Astyanax mexicanus: one gene and its partner. The protein of the gene in region 2 purifies or fractionates together with the protein of the main gene of each other region. This does not show direct contact. Links are inferred from orthologs where the notes say so. Each region holds a gene or a part of one and is shown on either strand. Other genes may lie near its edges.

Region 1 (8,330 bases), on a different chromosome or scaffold from region 2:
ACCGGCAGTACTCATGCAACTATTTTTTAAAGCTTAACTTCTTTGGTCGACCCTGGGGAGGTCTGTGGTCTGAGTGGAACCCATCCTGGAAAGCTTTTTAACCAAACTAAAATCACTCTTTACTGTCTTGCAGCGTGACCTTGTGGACAGTCAGATACTGCAGGCGGAGCGTCGTGGTGAACAGGCAGTGAGTGATGCTCAGATGCAGATCAGAGAGCTGGAAGAAGCTCTGAAGAAGGCTAAGAAGGACATGGCCAAGCAGCTCCGCGAGTACCAGGAGCTCATGAATGTCAAACTGGCTCTGGACATTGAGATCGCCACCTACAGGAAGCTGCTGGAAGGAGAGGAGAACCGGTGAGAGAACCATTAAACAAAAACTTTTTTAGTTTAGACTTATAGAAATGAGAGTGTTAGCATTTTCATTAATGGAATTAATTTACTGGGCCTACAAGTAAAAGTAAACATTTTAAAGGGTAGTTATTCACCTATTCTTAAACTTTTTATGGTCTTGGTTACTTGTATTGTAGTTGTCATGCAGATCAGACAGACAACAGACACACGTGGATACCGAACACACAGTATGGCAGCAAATGTAATAAACATACCAGTAGAGTAGTTGGGTCAAACAGGGTCATACACAGAAAATCATACACAGAAAATCCAGTAGAAAAGGGGCTTGGCAAAAGAGTAGTCAAAAATACAAAAATAGATCTGCAACAGAAACAAACAATAAAGAGGAGCTAGCTAACTAGATTCAATACTTGGCAAGGGACAGAAAAACAGAGGGGTGTATATATATAGGACAAGCCAGGTGCAAACAATCAGTAACCGGGAGAGCAGGAACAGCATAGCGTCACGTGATCAGCAGAGTCAGGGAAGTCCCAAGTCCTGTGTAAGTGCATGCTGGGAAATAGAGTCTTTATTGTGTAGTTCAGAGCCCAGAGCAGGCAAACTCTGAGACAGTATCAGGACTGACAGTATTAATCAAATTGTACTGAAATTATGAAATGTGATGGAATTATCTAAAAAAAACACTTTTTTTGTTTTTCATCTTTTAGAATTGAACAACAATCGGTCATACATGTCCAGAAGGTCCCAAAAAACAGTGAGTATCAATACTGTATATTCATTTACATCAATGCTAATAAGGATCCCCACAAAGTATGTCCTCTAGACATTTACCAGCAGCCTTCAGTACCAGTTAAATATTTTTCCCTTATCTTTTTCAGACCTTGCTGTGCCTCCGGTACGCAACTCTCCTTCTAAGGTCCTCATTAAGATGTTCGAGACTCAGGACAACAGCGTGTTCCCTTCTCACAGATAAAATATACCTATTAGTTGATATTTAGTTGATTGTGTGTGTATCTGTCAACAGCACAGGACAGCAGCTGCTCATCTTCCTTATCTTTCTCAAGTTATTCATCTCTTTCATGTATGTTCTGTTCTGGATTCATCTTTTAGATCTGATACTGAACATGTTCAAATATTAATAAAGTTTTTTTTTTTCAATACTGAGCCTTTTTTGTGTCTGGTACAGGTGCAGGTACAATAGTAGATGCCAAATAATAATAATAATTGCTAAAATAAAATGTGGCTGTCCACCGTTGCTAGGCTGTTGCTATGTGGTCACTAGGATTAAGATGTTTTATTAAGTGGTTCACATGGTATTCTATGTGGATGCAGTTACTACAGTATTTCAGGCAGTTCCTAAGGTGTTGCTAAGTAGGTACTATACTAAGGTGATTGTAGGTGGTTGAGATTATTGTAGGGTGTGTTGCTAAGGTATATCACATGCTTGTTTCCAGGGGAATTTCATGAAGTTACTACAACTATTGGATGGATCTCCACATTTGCTAGGTAATGCTGGGGTGTTGATACAATAGTAACTATAATATTCCAGGCAGTTACTAAGGTGTTGCTAAGGTGTTCATAAGTGGTTGCTTAGGTGTGTAGCTAAGGTATTTCACATGCTTGTTACTTCATCCCATTTTGATAGTATTGAATTGGTCTTTATCACTCCATATTCCACAGTTGCTAGGTGGATGCTGGGGTGTTGATAAAATATTTGCTATAATATTTCAGGAAGTTACTAACCTGTTGATAAGGTGTTCATAGGTGGTTGCTAGGGTGTGTTGCTAGGGTATTTCACATGCTTGTTACTTTATCCCATCTTAAGAGTATTAAATGGGTTTCCATCACTCAACATTCCACTGTTGTTAGGTTGTTGTAATGTGGTTTCTTTGATATTTCTGGTGATTACTAATAAGAAGCCCAAGGTTGTGTGTTATGGTGGTTTTAAGCTGTTCATGTTTGGTTTTTGTGATACATCAGGTAGCAGCTAGGCCAGATGATAAGGTATATGTATCAGCTGGTTGCTGAGGTATTACAGGTGGTTACTCCATCTTAATCATGAGGTTAAAGCCAAAATAGACCCCCGGTACTATCCAGAGGTAAAATGCATGTTAATACAACGTGTAAATAGACTCATACAGTCTTTTACCATTACTATTACCACGTGTATGGTATTACTGATATATGTACACATCATAAAATGCTGGCAGGCTCACTGAGTACAGCCCAGGGTGTCATAACCTACACGTCTGTGGAATTTAGTTTTAATTGTCAGTACACTGTAAAGGAATTTTAACCTTCCTAAATGTGGTCATGCATAAATCATCCCCACCCATATTTAAACGCTAATTATTTTAACTGCATTGTTGCCCTTGTTACGTTGGCACGCTGACCGGGCTGCAATGAACGCCATTGAAGAATGCAAAGAACCTCAAATCTCAATCTAATCTGACTGCGGTTTTAAAAGACATGATTAATATTGCAGCCTAAGTGCAGGATTCCTACCTCTCCCTGACTATTATCTCACCTACATCCTCTTTAAAGCAACAGGTAGTTTCAGTAGGAAATTCTGTTCTGAGAAACAGAAACTGGCCTGATAAGATTCCAAAATAACAACTGGAGTAAAAGACTAAACTGGTCTGTAGTGAAACCTAACGATGCTTCGTAGCGAAGTCACGTGTGAATATCACATGATTACACTTAAGTGCAAAACTAATGTGCTTTTTAATTTCTTCACAGAAATAAATCTAAGCATTTAAAAAAAACATATAAAGCTATATAAAGCTGGAAAAGCTGAATTTACTTAAATAATTTAAGGAAACTGATGTAGGCCACAACATCGAGGCCAGGTAGGAAATCACAATTAATGATCTACAGGTTTACCTATGGTAGTCTGGGGGGAATGACAACACACTGACGGTGGGTGTCAGAAACTGAGGGACACACCCAGTATGCAAAACAATTGTGCCAGAAGCCAATTAAAAAGATGCTGCCAATGGCAACAGACTTAATTCGACTTGATTCAACTCAAACATCTCCTTTTGAGTGTGCTGTATATGGTTCTATTCTATTCTCAAACTCTATTCTTCTGCTATTCTGAAGTTGACGGGATTAAACATTTCTCTTCAGTTTCTTGACAAGCAGCAGTTAGACAGTTGCACCACTCTATAGCTATAAAATCAAGTTAGTTTTTAATAGAGAATGAAAAGGTTAATTTAATCAGAACTGTGTTTTTATGCAGTGTAATTTCACAGCTCTAGAGTGGCCCTACAGTCTAACTGCTGCTCATCAGATATGAGGAGATGATTAGTTTAAATCCAGGAAATAGGTCAGTGATCTGTTGTCAAATGCAGCTCATTTATTTATGTTTTAAAGCACATCTCAATATGTATTGCTGATCAAATTGAGAGACAGAAGTAAAAAAAAAGTTAGGAAAACTTTTGATTAAATTAAGGCATTGATTTCCATGTGGCTATATAAGATATAAGCTGTTTGAGCACAGCAGTGTGTGCACCTTAGATCAGCTGAACAGTAATGTGATGGACAATCTCGCCATCTAGTGTTGTTTGCTTTAAAAACTGCACCAATCTATTAATTGAACTTTGAATGTCTTTACATACACAGTGCCAGTACAAAGTTTGGAACCACCTTCTGAGTTTTATTTTTCTTTTCTACATTTTTGTTTAAAATTAAATAGATCAAAAGTATGACATGGTAATATACAGTTGAGTCTATATTTTATGCTTTTCAAAAAAAGTTCTGAAGTTGTTCAGAGTAGTCAACTTTTGCTTTGATGAAATATAAAGCTATACTATACTATATTAATTTCTGGGCAAATAGACAAGCCCCCACAAGGGTTTTTTTTGCTTCTGACATCCCTGAATCAAGGGCCCATTTAGGTTTTAATGTTATGGCTGATCAGTGCACAGCTAAGGTAGAATATACAGCTCTGGACAAAAATAAGAGACCACTTAAAAATGATGTGTTTCTTTAATTTAACCAAATTGAAAGCCTCTGGCATATAATCAAGAGGAAGATGAATGATCACAAGCCATCAAACCAAACTGAATATTTAATTTTTTGCAACAGGAGTGGCATAAAGTTATCCAAAAGCAGTGTGTAAGACTGGTGGAGGAGAACATGCCGAAATACATAAAAACTGTGATTAAAAACAGGGTTATTGCACCAAATATTGAGTTTTGGACTCTAATAACTTTATGAATATGAAGTTGTTGTTGTTGTTTGTATTATTTATGGTCTGCATCTTTTTTTATTTTAGGTATTTCTCATTTTCTGCAAATACACATAAATAGTCTATATGGCAATATTTTTATTTGAAATTTGGGAGAAACGTTGTCTCTCGTTTATAGAATAAAACAACAATGTTGTCTTTACATTGTTTTATTCAAACATATGCCTATAAATAGTAAAATCAGAGAAGCTGGTCATTTAAAGTGATCTAATTTTTTGCCAGAGCTGTATATTTATATATATAATTTATAATAAACACACAACTTACAACACATAAGTTACGCCCCTTCCATTTAACCCCGCCCACTTTCGTGTAAGGAAGTCATCATCAGAAGCTCTTCCTTCTTCCTGCGATATAATAATAATAATTTGCGGTGTTTCTCCGCTGGGTTCTGCTGGATTTTCGCGTCGTATTAAATGAATCATTATGGCCTCGACCTGCAGTGGCGTGGCGACGGAGCCTCCGGGGCTGGAGACGCAGCGGGCGGAGATCGAGACGCTGATGCGGGAAGAGGAGCTGCGGGTCGGGGAGAGCTGGTGAGAGTCAGTCCGGCTGCTGCTGGGAAGAAACTCAGAGCTGCAGAGCTCAGTGGCTACAGTACTGTATTAACTGGCTTACTGAGGGCTGGATGCGCTTAATACGCACATATACTCTCAGATATCTCTGCCTGTGCTGATATAAACACATAATAATAAATGTTATTAAAATGTTTAGATGCTGGAGGATGTCTGAGCTTCAGCTGTTGGCTGGGTAACAAGCTTTGGTGGCGTTTAGTTAGTCAAGCTAATGGTTTTGGGCTTTAATGACAGATATATTTTACCAGCTAACTTAGCTAGCTAACACAATTTAGACAATAAAGTCATGAATGTGGGTTTTGTGGAGTGGGTTAGCTGGTAGGAACAGTTCCTGATTAAGTTACACTCATATATTTTCAGTCAGGCTTTTTTAGGAACAGAAAGAAGCTAACGTTAACTAGCTAACCTAATTTAGCTAGGTTAACCTAGTTAGCTTACAGCTAGCTTGTTATGTTATTTAACTAGTTAATGCTGCTTTCAAATGCTTTTAGAAAGAGACAGCGTAGCTTATATCTTACTGTGGGCAGACAGAGCTTATTTGAACACGTTAAGTGTCAAATTTAGCCTAGTCTGGATTAAGAGCTGTCAGTTAGCTAGGTTAGCTAGCAGCTTTGTCATTCCCAAGTTTCACTTTTGAGTTTGTTCCTCAGTCAACCGCCCTGTTTACATCAGTTTCGGTTTAGGCACAGGCTTTAGAGGAGAAGGGAAATTTACCCTGGACACACCTTTTCATCTTTAAAGTTGTATATATATATATATATATATATATATATATATATATATATACAAAAATGTGACATATAATGTGACATGTAATATAACAAATTGAATGTAACTGTAATGTAATGTTACAAAATTATCCACAAAACTAAAGTGCAGCATATATACTGTATGTATATAAACCACACATAACTGTAATTTATAGACTGTTTTTTGGAAGAACACTACTATAATCCATGTTTTTTGTACGTTTGTATGATACAATATGGCACAGTGCTATTTTGAACTGTGACATACATTTAAGTCAGTTAAAATTAATATTTGGACAGTTATACAATCTTCATGATTTGAGCTCTGCATGCCACCACACTGGATTTGAAATAAAACAAAAAAGATATAACTGAAGTAAAGACTTTTAGATTTAATTCAAGGGATTGAACAAATATATCCTATCAAGCGTTTAGGAATTGTAACCATTTATCTACAAAGCATTGGCAATGTCAGTGTTATCCCATAGTATTGTCAAGTGGAGACCTGAAAGCCCAAGAACTGCTAGTGTGCTTGAAAGAGAGCCAAATCCAAAACCTCCATATGAACACAATAATGTTTAGCTGTCAGTTAGCTAGGTTAGCTAGCAGCTTTGTCATTACCAAGTTTCACTTTTGAGTTTGTTCCTTAGTCATTCGCCCTGTTTTAGATCAGTTTCGGTTTGGGCACAGGCTTTAGAGGAGAAGGGAGATTTACCTTGACATACCTTCTCATTAAAAAATAAATAAATTAATTAATTAAATAATATATGTAATGAATGAATAAATGTAATGTAGTAAACCGCACATGTTAATAACTGTAATTAATAGACTGTTTTCTTAAACAACACTACTATTATTGTTCATTATCTTGCAGGTATCTGGTGGATTGTAGGTGGTTTGAGTTGTGGAAGGAATATGTGAAGACCGGAGACCAGAACTCCCCCTCTTTTCCTGGACAGATTGATAACACTGAACTGTTTGAGAGTGAGTCTTGCTTTAATAATAAAAGCGACACTCCAGTTTCATTTATATGTTGAAATCATAACATTTTTTAATTAATTATGTGACGTAGGTGTAGTTACAGTATTACACGTGGATGCTATAGTTTGATGTATGCAGTAATATATAGAATTAATGGTCAATTTTGTGCAAAGATTGAACATAATGCAAATTAAACACAGGAGCTAGCTTTTTTTTCTTCCTCAAATCAGGAGTTTTCCTCCTTACGTTGGCATGGTTTTAATATTTATTTATTTATTTAATTAATTTTCTACTTTTAGAATTTAAAAGAAGATATAACATGTTTAAGATATAAGATGTTAATATTTTACTGCTAAATATGCTACAGGCTCTATGCACATATAATAGTGTGTGTATGTATATACATATATGATACTAGGAGGTAACTTAGTAGGTAGATAACCACTTGTTTGACTGAACAGAGCTGAGTGTTTCCACTTGATTAGTGAAGGATGAGAGGAACTGATGAAACAATATATTATTAGTTAATACTGTTTTTCCCACCCACTGCTGTATGGTATGCTATGCTCAAAATCTGAATTTGTTTTAGAGGCATTAAAGTCATTAAGTTCTAATTATAATCATCATTATGATATGGTGGATTATGCATGGATCCTTGAGTCTTATACTTTTTCTTCCTTTCATCATTTTGCTTTGATTTAATGACAGAAAATGATAAATTTATTTAATACATGGATACTACTGAAATTAATATTGTTTAAATGATCAGAGAAAGTATTAAAACAAGTTAGATAAAGCTAACTATATAAGTTATAGTCTGATGTATAGCAGATATTTCTACAGTCATTCCTAAACAGCTTCATAGTGCTTTATTAAAATCAGGAAGCTTCAGAGAATAAGGAGTGGCTTTACTATGAGAAATGCAGACAGAACTGTTCATGTAGTAATAAGGAAACAGTTGTTTTTAATGGAACATATTTCTCATAGCAATGGACAGATGGACTTATACACATGCAGGCATTCTGTACACGGTATGTGGTGTGATATATCTTTGTTCTTCTGTGTGTTGAAGACTGTAGGGTTAATTCCTGTTGGATAAGATTATTATTATTATTATATATATTGTTTTACCTGTGGAGAAGCTATAATGTACTGTTAACCTAGGTTTTTTTGTTCATGAAGTCTTCTGTTGCTGATGTCCCTTACAGTTGTTAAAGGGTTTTCTAAACAGCACTCACAATGTTTCTGTCATCAACTGCTGCTGTTTTCTTTGGTCCACCTGTTCAACATCTGTTACTTAGTACACCAGTGATGACTTTCTTCTTCAGGACATTACAAACAGTTGCAGCAATGGTTCTGGTTGATTTTCCTTATTATTTCCTTATTATTCCTTAGGGGGAGTCTTAATGAGTGGGTTGGGAA
Region 2 (8,880 bases):
GGTTATTAACATGTATTGTGGGGTTAAAAAACTTTATTAAATCTTTAAATAAATTAGTATTCTTATATAGTACATATAGACTTAATCAAAGAAATGATTCAAACTGTATTTTTTGCATTACTGTAGCACCAGGCCAATGCACTGCAACTCCTCAGTAACACAGAATAACGATAACCTGATCTTACATTCTACAAAAATCAGGTCTAACAGATAATTAACATATAAAATACAAATACAACACCCAAGAGAAGGTAAATTTGGGTGGTAGACAACTTACTGATGGTAAGTAACCTGGAAGTCTTTCTGGACCACAAACTATGGAATGAGTTGCCACTGTTTGTTAGGTTAGCCCCCTCACTGTCGACTTTTAAATCCCGCCAGAAATCTCATTTGTTTTAATAGATTCCTTGTTTATTAATTACTGTACAGCACTTTGGTCAACATTTGTTGTTAAAAAAATAAAATTGACATTGACATATATAGTATGGTGCAAGGAACCAACAATGGTAAAAGAGCTTTAGCACATGCATAGTATATAAAAAGTTGGTTGAAACCCTTTTTTTTTAGTAGCTATACAAACAAAGTCCTTTAAATTTGTATATTTTGTTGTACTGGCCAGTTACACTCAGCATGATAATTTTACTCCATCTGACAGTTTAGAGTATGTGGATGTCTTAGCACTTTTGCTAAAAGAGCTGTCGCTCTGTGTGACTGACTGGAGATGTGGAAGTTGTGTCTGCGTGACCGGCAGGGTCACAACTCTTCATCCGAAGCTCAAGGATGTTTGTGAAAGTCTGGCGTCAACATAGCCCCCCCCTTTACCCGAGAGAGAAAGAGAGAGGGAGAGATAGAGAGAGTAACAGAGACACTCTTACATATATAAAAAGGAATGTTTAAATAAACAACTCAAAATATGACTGAAAAAAAATACTTAAAAATCTGGCAATAACAAACAGTGATAAAATATAAACATTGACATTGAAAAAAACGTCCCAGCTTTTCATTAAAACAATTTCTGGTAGAAAATGTTACTTTTTTTCTATTTCTGGTTGAAAGTGAAAGGTGAAAAGATGTAAAATGAGGTCTATATGAGACCAACACAAGATAGCACATAATTAGAATAGAGTAGAGTAGAGTAGAACAAAAATGATATATGGTTTTCAAAGATTTTAATAAAAATAATACAAATCTGTAAAAAAGTGTGATGTGCAAAAGTATTTAGCCTTCTTTACTCTAAATCCCCTAAATAAAATCCAGTGCAATCAACTGCCTTAAGAAATCACATAATTAGTTAACAGAGTCCAGCTGTGTGTAATTTAGTCTCAGTATAAATGTTCTCTTCTGTGGTTTGTTGGAGAACACTAGTGAACAAACAGCATCATGAAGACCAAATAACTCACCAGACAGGTCAGAGATAAATTTGTGGAGAAGTTGTCTCAAGCTTAGAGCATCCCAAAAAGCACTGTACAATCCATCATCCAGAAAAAAAGTATTATATACCTGCAAACCTACCAAGACATGACAGTCCATCTAAACTGACAGATCGAGCAAGGAGAGCACTGGTCAGAGAAGCAGCCAAGAGGCCCAAGGTCACTCTGAAAGAGCTGCAGAAATCCACAGCTCAGGTGGGAGAATCTGTATACAGGACAACTATAAGTTGTGCACTCCACAAACCTGCCGTTTATGGATAAGTGTCACAAACAAAACCAATGTTGAAAGAAAGACGTGATAAGAAGTGTCGCTTGCAGTTTGCCACAAGCCATGGAAGATACACAGCAAACATGTGGAAGAAGACGCTGTGGTCAGATGAGACCAGTGCTGGTAACTTTTTGGCCTAAATGCAAAGGGCTTTGTGTGGTAAAAAAGTAACACAGCTCATCACCCTGAACACACCATCCCCACTGTGAAGCATGGTGGTGGCAGCATCATGCTGTGTGGATGTTTTTTTCAGCAGGGACAGGGAAGTTGGTCAAAATTAATGGGAAGATGGATGGAGCCAAATACAGGACAATCCTGGAAGAAAACCTGTTGGAGGCTGCAAAAAACTTGAGACTGGGAAGGAGATTCAGCTTCCAGCAAGACAATGAGCCTAAACATACAGCCAGAGCTACAGTGGAATGATTAAAATCAAAGAATATTCATGTGTTAGAAAGGCCCAGTCAAAGTTCTGACCAAAATCCCATCCAGCATCTGTCGCAAGACATGAAAATTGCTGTTCACAGATGCTCTCCATCCAACCTGGCTGAGCTTTAGCTTTTTTGCAAAGAAAAATTGGCAAACATCTCAGTATCTACATGTACAAAGTTCATTGAGACATACCCAAAAATACCTACAGCTGAAATTGCAGTGAAATGTGGCTCTACTAAGTGTTGGTATACTGAAAGGGTTAATAGGCTGATTACTTTTGCACATCTCTGTTTCAGATTTTATTTGATAAAAAAATCGGAAATCATTATAATTTTAGTTCTTTTTATTATATCACTTAAAATATCAATAAATTACATTTAAGTTTGTGGTTTGTGGCAAAATGTGAAAAACATTTAAGTAACATGAAAATTTGTAGTATTTACTAAAAGCTCTGACATTCTAGCATTTTTGTTTTATTTTAGTGCTATATAAAAGGTTTTTCACAAGTTCTTTAGCAAAGTCAACATCTCAATGAATCATTTACACATCTGACCTATAGTTAAACTGCTATTCAAATTCAGAAGTACTTAAACTTTCTTGTAGATATTTTTTTAAATACTTTTTTAACACAAACTGATTACTGTGTTGTTTTTAATATGTAGTTTTTAGGACATCCTGGGTTCAGATGTTTCTTTAAAGTAAAGTAAACCAACCCTTTAACCCATTAAGCTACGATGGTTCTCAATGAAACCCTTGTCTTTAATAAGAACCTTCAAAAATCCCATAATCACACAGTAAGCGTGTCTACCTGTAATTAATTCTATATACCGTTAAAATGAACACAACTAAACCCTAACAAAGTCAGTAGTCAGAAAATGCTTTTAAGCTACTTTTAAAATCTGTTACAGACTATAGTAAAGCAGTGAAGCAGGCTGGGAGCAGAACCAACACAATACAAGGAAATTAAAGACAGGACATTATGTAATTAATGCATTAATACGAAGGAGTAAAGTGGAATAAACATGGATTACTCATAGGCTCATGCTGTAAAGCTCAGAAAATGCTCAGAAAAGTGCAAATGTGTGTAATTGTGTTTAATTATAGTTTGAGTTAAGTGAATAGAACTAGTTAGGTTTATTGCAGGTCTCATCCTCTCAGCCTTTAATTCAATCCCAACAACAGCTCATTTTAGACTCAAGGAGATAGAAAGAGAAAGAGGAGCAGAATAGAAGGAATAAGATGAGGAGATTAAAGGCTAGAAAAATGATGTAAATTCAGTCCAGGAGATCCAGAGTCTGGGCAGGCAGCAGAACTAGATTCCAGTTCCTCACCCAGAGATTAATGCCTGTTTTGTATTTCATTTTTAGATGAATATGAGCTCAGGTATGTGGAATATTCCATTCATCATCACACAGGGACTTCACAATACTGCAGGAGGAACAAAAAACACAGACTGCAGGAACACAACAACCTAATTAAATCTGGACACTGTGCCCCACCAACCAACAGAGCAAATACAAAATGTGCTCAAGTACACAACAAGTTTCAAAACATCCCTATTGTTTTATTTGATCATCTTAACAATGTCTTTATTACTGCATGTTACCTGCCACCTCTAATTCTTCTCTCCACTGCTAAAACTGAGACTTTTTAGATTTACAGTGTTAATCTGAGCTAAAGATGTTGCCATGTGGGTCAGCCTGTAGCAGTTTTCTCCAGTTTCCAAGAGTCTTTTGAAGATGTCGGAAATCACTCTCTGGCTTTATCTAAAGAATAAAATTATAGTTACAAAATTTCCACAGTCTTATTATCATCATCAACTAATTATCATCAGTTAGATTAAATCTGATTTGCCAGCAAACCAATTGTGGTATACTCCAAAATCTTTAGCTAACTGTTTATTTAAACTATTTGTATGTTTAAGTGAAACATTTTTATCTCCATAATCTAACTTCTGAGGTAAACAAAATGCTACATAAGTATAGAAAATTAATGACACAAAATGAATGTCAAAAAAATGTGCACAAAATTCTGAACTCAACAAATGCTTATATATAAAATAGTGTTGTCAGTGTTAACCTGGTAACACACACACACACACACACACACACACACACACACACACACACACACACACACACACACACACACACACACACACACACACACAATTAATCTAGAAAGCGCTTTAATTTTATTTTACCAAATATCTGCAGTAACTTTTTCCAGAGCCTGGTGATGCATTAGCCATTTTTAGCAATATTTAGTGATGTAAAGATACATTTAAACAAACATATTTGAATACAAATAAAACCATTTAGATGACCTTGACATTGATTCTTTTTAATTACATTTAAATATCTATTACTAAAAGTTTAAGTGTTACAAAAATATTTTTTTTATCGTTTGACAAACCGATGTTTTTTTCCAGGATTCTACACAAAACTTCACTTTTAAAAGTAAGTGTTTAAATGTTTTAAATGGTAAAGATGAATGAGTGTGATAAACCTGTCTACAATAGTGGGGGCCTGAACTGAGGCCTATTCATAATCTAGCGCACAAAAAAGGGAGAGAAACAGGGAAAGGGGGGGGGGGGTGGACTGCATTGGTAATTCCTGGCATTCCTCCGTGTTTTGTGGGAGTGTGTGTGCGGAGCTGCAGACAGTGACACACCGGGGTCGAGGGGCTGCTGGTGGGTCCGTCCCGCGCAGCCCGGCTACTTATATGGTCATAAAAGTCCTCGGCTGCTCAGACCGTCCCGTTAAACTCTAAACTCCGGGAGAGGCAGGCCCCGCCCCCACTCCTCCGCCCCGCCCCCTTCCCGCTCTCTCATACTTTAGCTCCGGTTCGTTTTCGCACTTTTGGGCTTCTGATTGGCCGAAGCCGCCTGAACGCTACGCGCTGACTGGCAGAGAAGTGAGGAAGTGGGCGTGGCGTACAAACCGCGCCGGCCCCGCCCTCTCTGGACCGCACCCCGAGCCAGTAGGCGAAACAGTGCAAGTGGAAGAGAGGGAGGGAGAAGAGAGAGCAGAAAAAAATAGTAAAAGAGTGAGAGAGAGAGAGAGAGAGAGAGAGAGAGAGAGAGAGAGAGAGAGAGAGAGAGAGAGAGAGAGAGAGCAAAAGAGACGAAAGAGGAGAGAGCGCGCTAGCCTGAAGAGAGGTTGCAGCGGACAGGCGGTTTTTGCAAAGCTGCTACGACCAGGATAAGCACCGGTTCTTGTTAAGTCAACCTTAAAGCAGCTGGAATAAGCAGGTAAGTTGTTTTTATAGTTTTTACAAGGCGTATTTTCCACCCATCTGCTCTAAAGAGCAAAGTGCACTGAAGCAGGAAGGACGAGCCAGGCTCAAAGTTGGCTTTCAAGTCTAACTCTGCGGTCCACCTTAAATGGGACAGACGTTCCATTGCTCCGGCCACTGAGGCGCCAGAACGTAACTGTAAAGTGCCATGGAACTGCTTCACTATTTAAGGTGGAATGGGAAAAGTGAACGAGATGCTAACTTCAGCTTCAACGTTGAAGGGCGAGGGGAGTAAAGCTTGGCCGGGAGGGACTCTAAACGAGATCGCAACACAGTTTCATCTCCACGCGCACTTTCTTTTACGAGTTTAAGCAGTTCTAAACTTCGCTGCTGCTGCAGGTAGACTTGTTCGAGGGGAAAAAACAAAGCGGTGAAGTTACAGGAAGCGACGACCTGCTCGCATGAATGAGTTGCATAAAAATGGAGGGAGAGAGGGGAGAGGGAGGGAGGGAGCAGCCGGAGCCCGTTACCGGGCCGGGACTCCCCCCGCCAGATCCGGGAGCGCGTTAGCGGGGCGGGGTGGGTTTTACTCTGGGTGTAAATCACCGGCGCGGCTCCACGCGAGACACTCGCTCTCGGATGGTTCATCGTGTTACACGCGGTGACGTCATCGCCCGATTCCGGTGTTCTGTGGAGTTGTGCTACCCTGTCAAACCGTGCTACCCTAGTGTTTAATGTTTAACTGTAAAAATAAAAAATATTAGAACATGCTGCATGCAGTAGAAGTGTCGGTATAATCATATCTGAATAGCCTAGATCGCTGTATCAGGATAAAGTTAAAGCAACATAGGTTAAACAGGTTAAAACAAGGCAACATGACTGAAAACATTTTTATTTATTTTTATTATTATATTTGTTAGTTTTTTTACACGGTTGTAACATTCAGGCAAACGATGACTGTGAGTCCAGATTGTACAATGCACCTGGGGGGAAAAAACTGAAAACTAAATTACCAGGAACTAGAGGTGGGTAACACAGGTCCAGCAAGTAGAAATCTAACTCAGGGTTTTGTACCAGCTGCCTGGAATTTTACTTTCTGGACCTGGGCTACCCACCTCTAGGAAAGAACACATGAAAACAGTAAAGATGAGATTTTTGCGCATGCGCAGAGCCGCTAAGTATCACATATCGACGGGTAGCACAACTCGATAGAACACCTGGCTCCCTGTGTCAGTGACGTAGCGCAGCTAACCCGCGGATCGATACTCCCGATCAGTTTTTGTAGCTTATACATCAGAGAGAATGCATCATTCAATATAAGAAAGAACGAGTAACACTTTTAGCTATATGTACACATATTAACCTTGTCTGTAAGTCTCTCTCCTTTGTTCCATTGCAACATTACTAAACCCCTCAGTTTGAATACCTCTGGATTAACTTTTAATAGGTGCTTTAACCAGTTTGGGGAAAGTTTAGCTGAACTTTCTGGAATGAGTGTGTGTAATAAGTGTTTTAGAAAAGCCATTCAAAAATAAATGTGCACACAAACACACTTATGTGTGGGTTTTGTTATGTAAGCAAAAATGAGAGTTTTACAGGCTAAGAAAAGTATGGTAAATTCTGACATTCAACTCTCTATTCATGTCAAATGCAGAATGTCAACTAAATACTGGTTTAGATGTAAAATTATTATCACAATAAAGACATTTCACCATACGCAGAATATTTCCATCCATATTTTACAGCAAGATTTCAAAACCTGTTCCATATTTGGAACATTGAAAACTGGTTGCCTTTCCATCTAACAGAACTGGGAATTATTTGCATTCCATTTAATCTCGAATTTCCAATAGAATCCAATATGGCAACCTCACACATCAGCAGTTGTAAAGCAATATTATTATAGAGTTTATCACTTCTATCTATAAGTGTTTCATTAAATCCATCCAACACACAGTTCTGTACTACTTCTATCTGCACATGATTACATGCTGTTTGGATGTGCAAAATAATTCCTTCATTATCAGTTGGTTTCACAAACAATTCTAACAAGGGATAAGGCTATCCAGGACAAGGGATAATCCAGGACATAAAAAGTGGGAAAAGTATTGGTTAGATTTACCATAAAACACCGTAAAAACACTTGTGATTTATATTTTGACCTGGAATAGTGTATGACATAATACCTAGCTGCACCATCCAACATGTAAGCTAAATGGAATGCAGCATAATTACTTAATTGTGCTCTTTGAAGAATGAAATGTGCAGGTTTCACCCAGTGAAACCAATCAGATCTGTAAATTAATGATCATGGAAGATCAGAGATTGCTAGGTAGTTAGGTTATATGGTAGCTACTTTTTCAACAAAAAACATATTTGACACAAAACAGTCACAATTTGAAACATAATTTTCAGATTTGCTTAAAAATGTAAATTTGGTTAAATATGAATACAGAAAGATTCCATTTAGGTAGATCAGTTAATATTGTAAATATTAACACATACAGTGTAGATCGCACTCGCTATAATATAATGTTGGCTCAGGTAATATAGGCAACACACAGAGTGTGTTCTTTTTCTCATTCTGCTCAAATTTCGTGGTAAAATAGTTAAAGATTAAATATTGTCACTATTAAACTGATAATTTGCCTCAGTCAGTTGTATATATGTATTTTTTAAGAGCATGTATTAAGCTGACTTTGGGACTCAAAACAATAGCGATACTAAATCATTATTATTTAAACTTCTTTTAGCTAACTATTTTGTAGATGCTTTATTATTATGCATATTCATATAAAATTATCTATATTCACTGGATAATAAATGTAACCTTGTTTAAGATCGTATGATAGTAGTAGAACAGTGCTGGGGGAATTTACCATGATTATCACAGGTAAGATTGTTCGTAAAGAGGCTGCTTGTTGTCTTCTAAGTGAATTTAGAAGAAATTCTTCTTCTTGTCTCAGGGCCTGCTGTGCCATGCTGTGATTTCCTGGATGGGGAATCGAACCCCCCAGACTTCCCGTTCCTGAGTGCGTTGAATGGTTTAGATTTGTACCGTTGCCCTAAATTCCAGCTCATTGTGGAGATAAGAGTTGCTGCAGGGCTCGGGGAGGGAGGCTCGGGAACGCTGCTGTTCTGGGGAATGTGATCACACCCTGATTTGTCCAGCCTGACCTCTGGGACACAGAATTAGCCTGTAGAGTGCGTGATTACGTACGCCTGCTCTGCCTGGGGTTTCGAGTGTCTTTAATCGTAATGAAGTGGGGCTGTAAATTCCTGAATTTGTGCTGAAACTGGCAGACGTGTCCGGTGGCAGCACTACAGAGTCTCTGTTGGGTAATTACCAGCTGTCTGCACTGTGGCATGTCTGAAATGGGCTGAACATCATATTGCACGTTAATTACAATATTGCCCTTTGGTGTATGGATGTTGTGGAAGGCTGAAATACGCAAATGAGGTTTAGGCAAATTACTACAATTTTCCTTTCATACTGCAAATCCTGACAGATGTTCT

The links. The genes of interacting proteins can lie anywhere in the genome.
Region 1: the proteins of myosin-9 (region 2) and usp11 purify together in Homo sapiens (affinity purification with mass spectrometry; 3 studies listed by BioGRID, with this or other methods). This does not show direct contact. The link is inferred for Astyanax mexicanus from reciprocal best matches to the Homo sapiens genes MYH9 and USP11.

Annotation. Positions count from the first base shown.
Region 1 is NC_064419.1:3,820,521-3,828,850, reverse strand, and holds the start of usp11 (ubiquitin carboxyl-terminal hydrolase 11), read left to right. Parts: upstream 1-4,901; 5' UTR 4,902-5,029; coding exon 5,030-5,139; intron 5,140-6,801; coding exon 6,802-6,911; intron 6,912-8,330. Other genes in the region: si:dkey-222n6.2 (keratin, type II cytoskeletal cochleal), read left to right, coding at 134-354, 1,059-1,105, 1,230-1,324.
Region 2 is NC_064410.1:18,744,249-18,753,128, forward strand, and holds the start of myosin-9, read left to right. Parts: upstream 1-5,223; 5' UTR 5,224-5,380; intron 5,381-8,880. UniProt on the Homo sapiens protein: Cellular myosin that appears to play a role in cytokinesis, cell shape, and specialized functions such as secretion and capping. Required for cortical actin clearance prior to oocyte exocytosis. Promotes cell motility in conjunction with S100A4.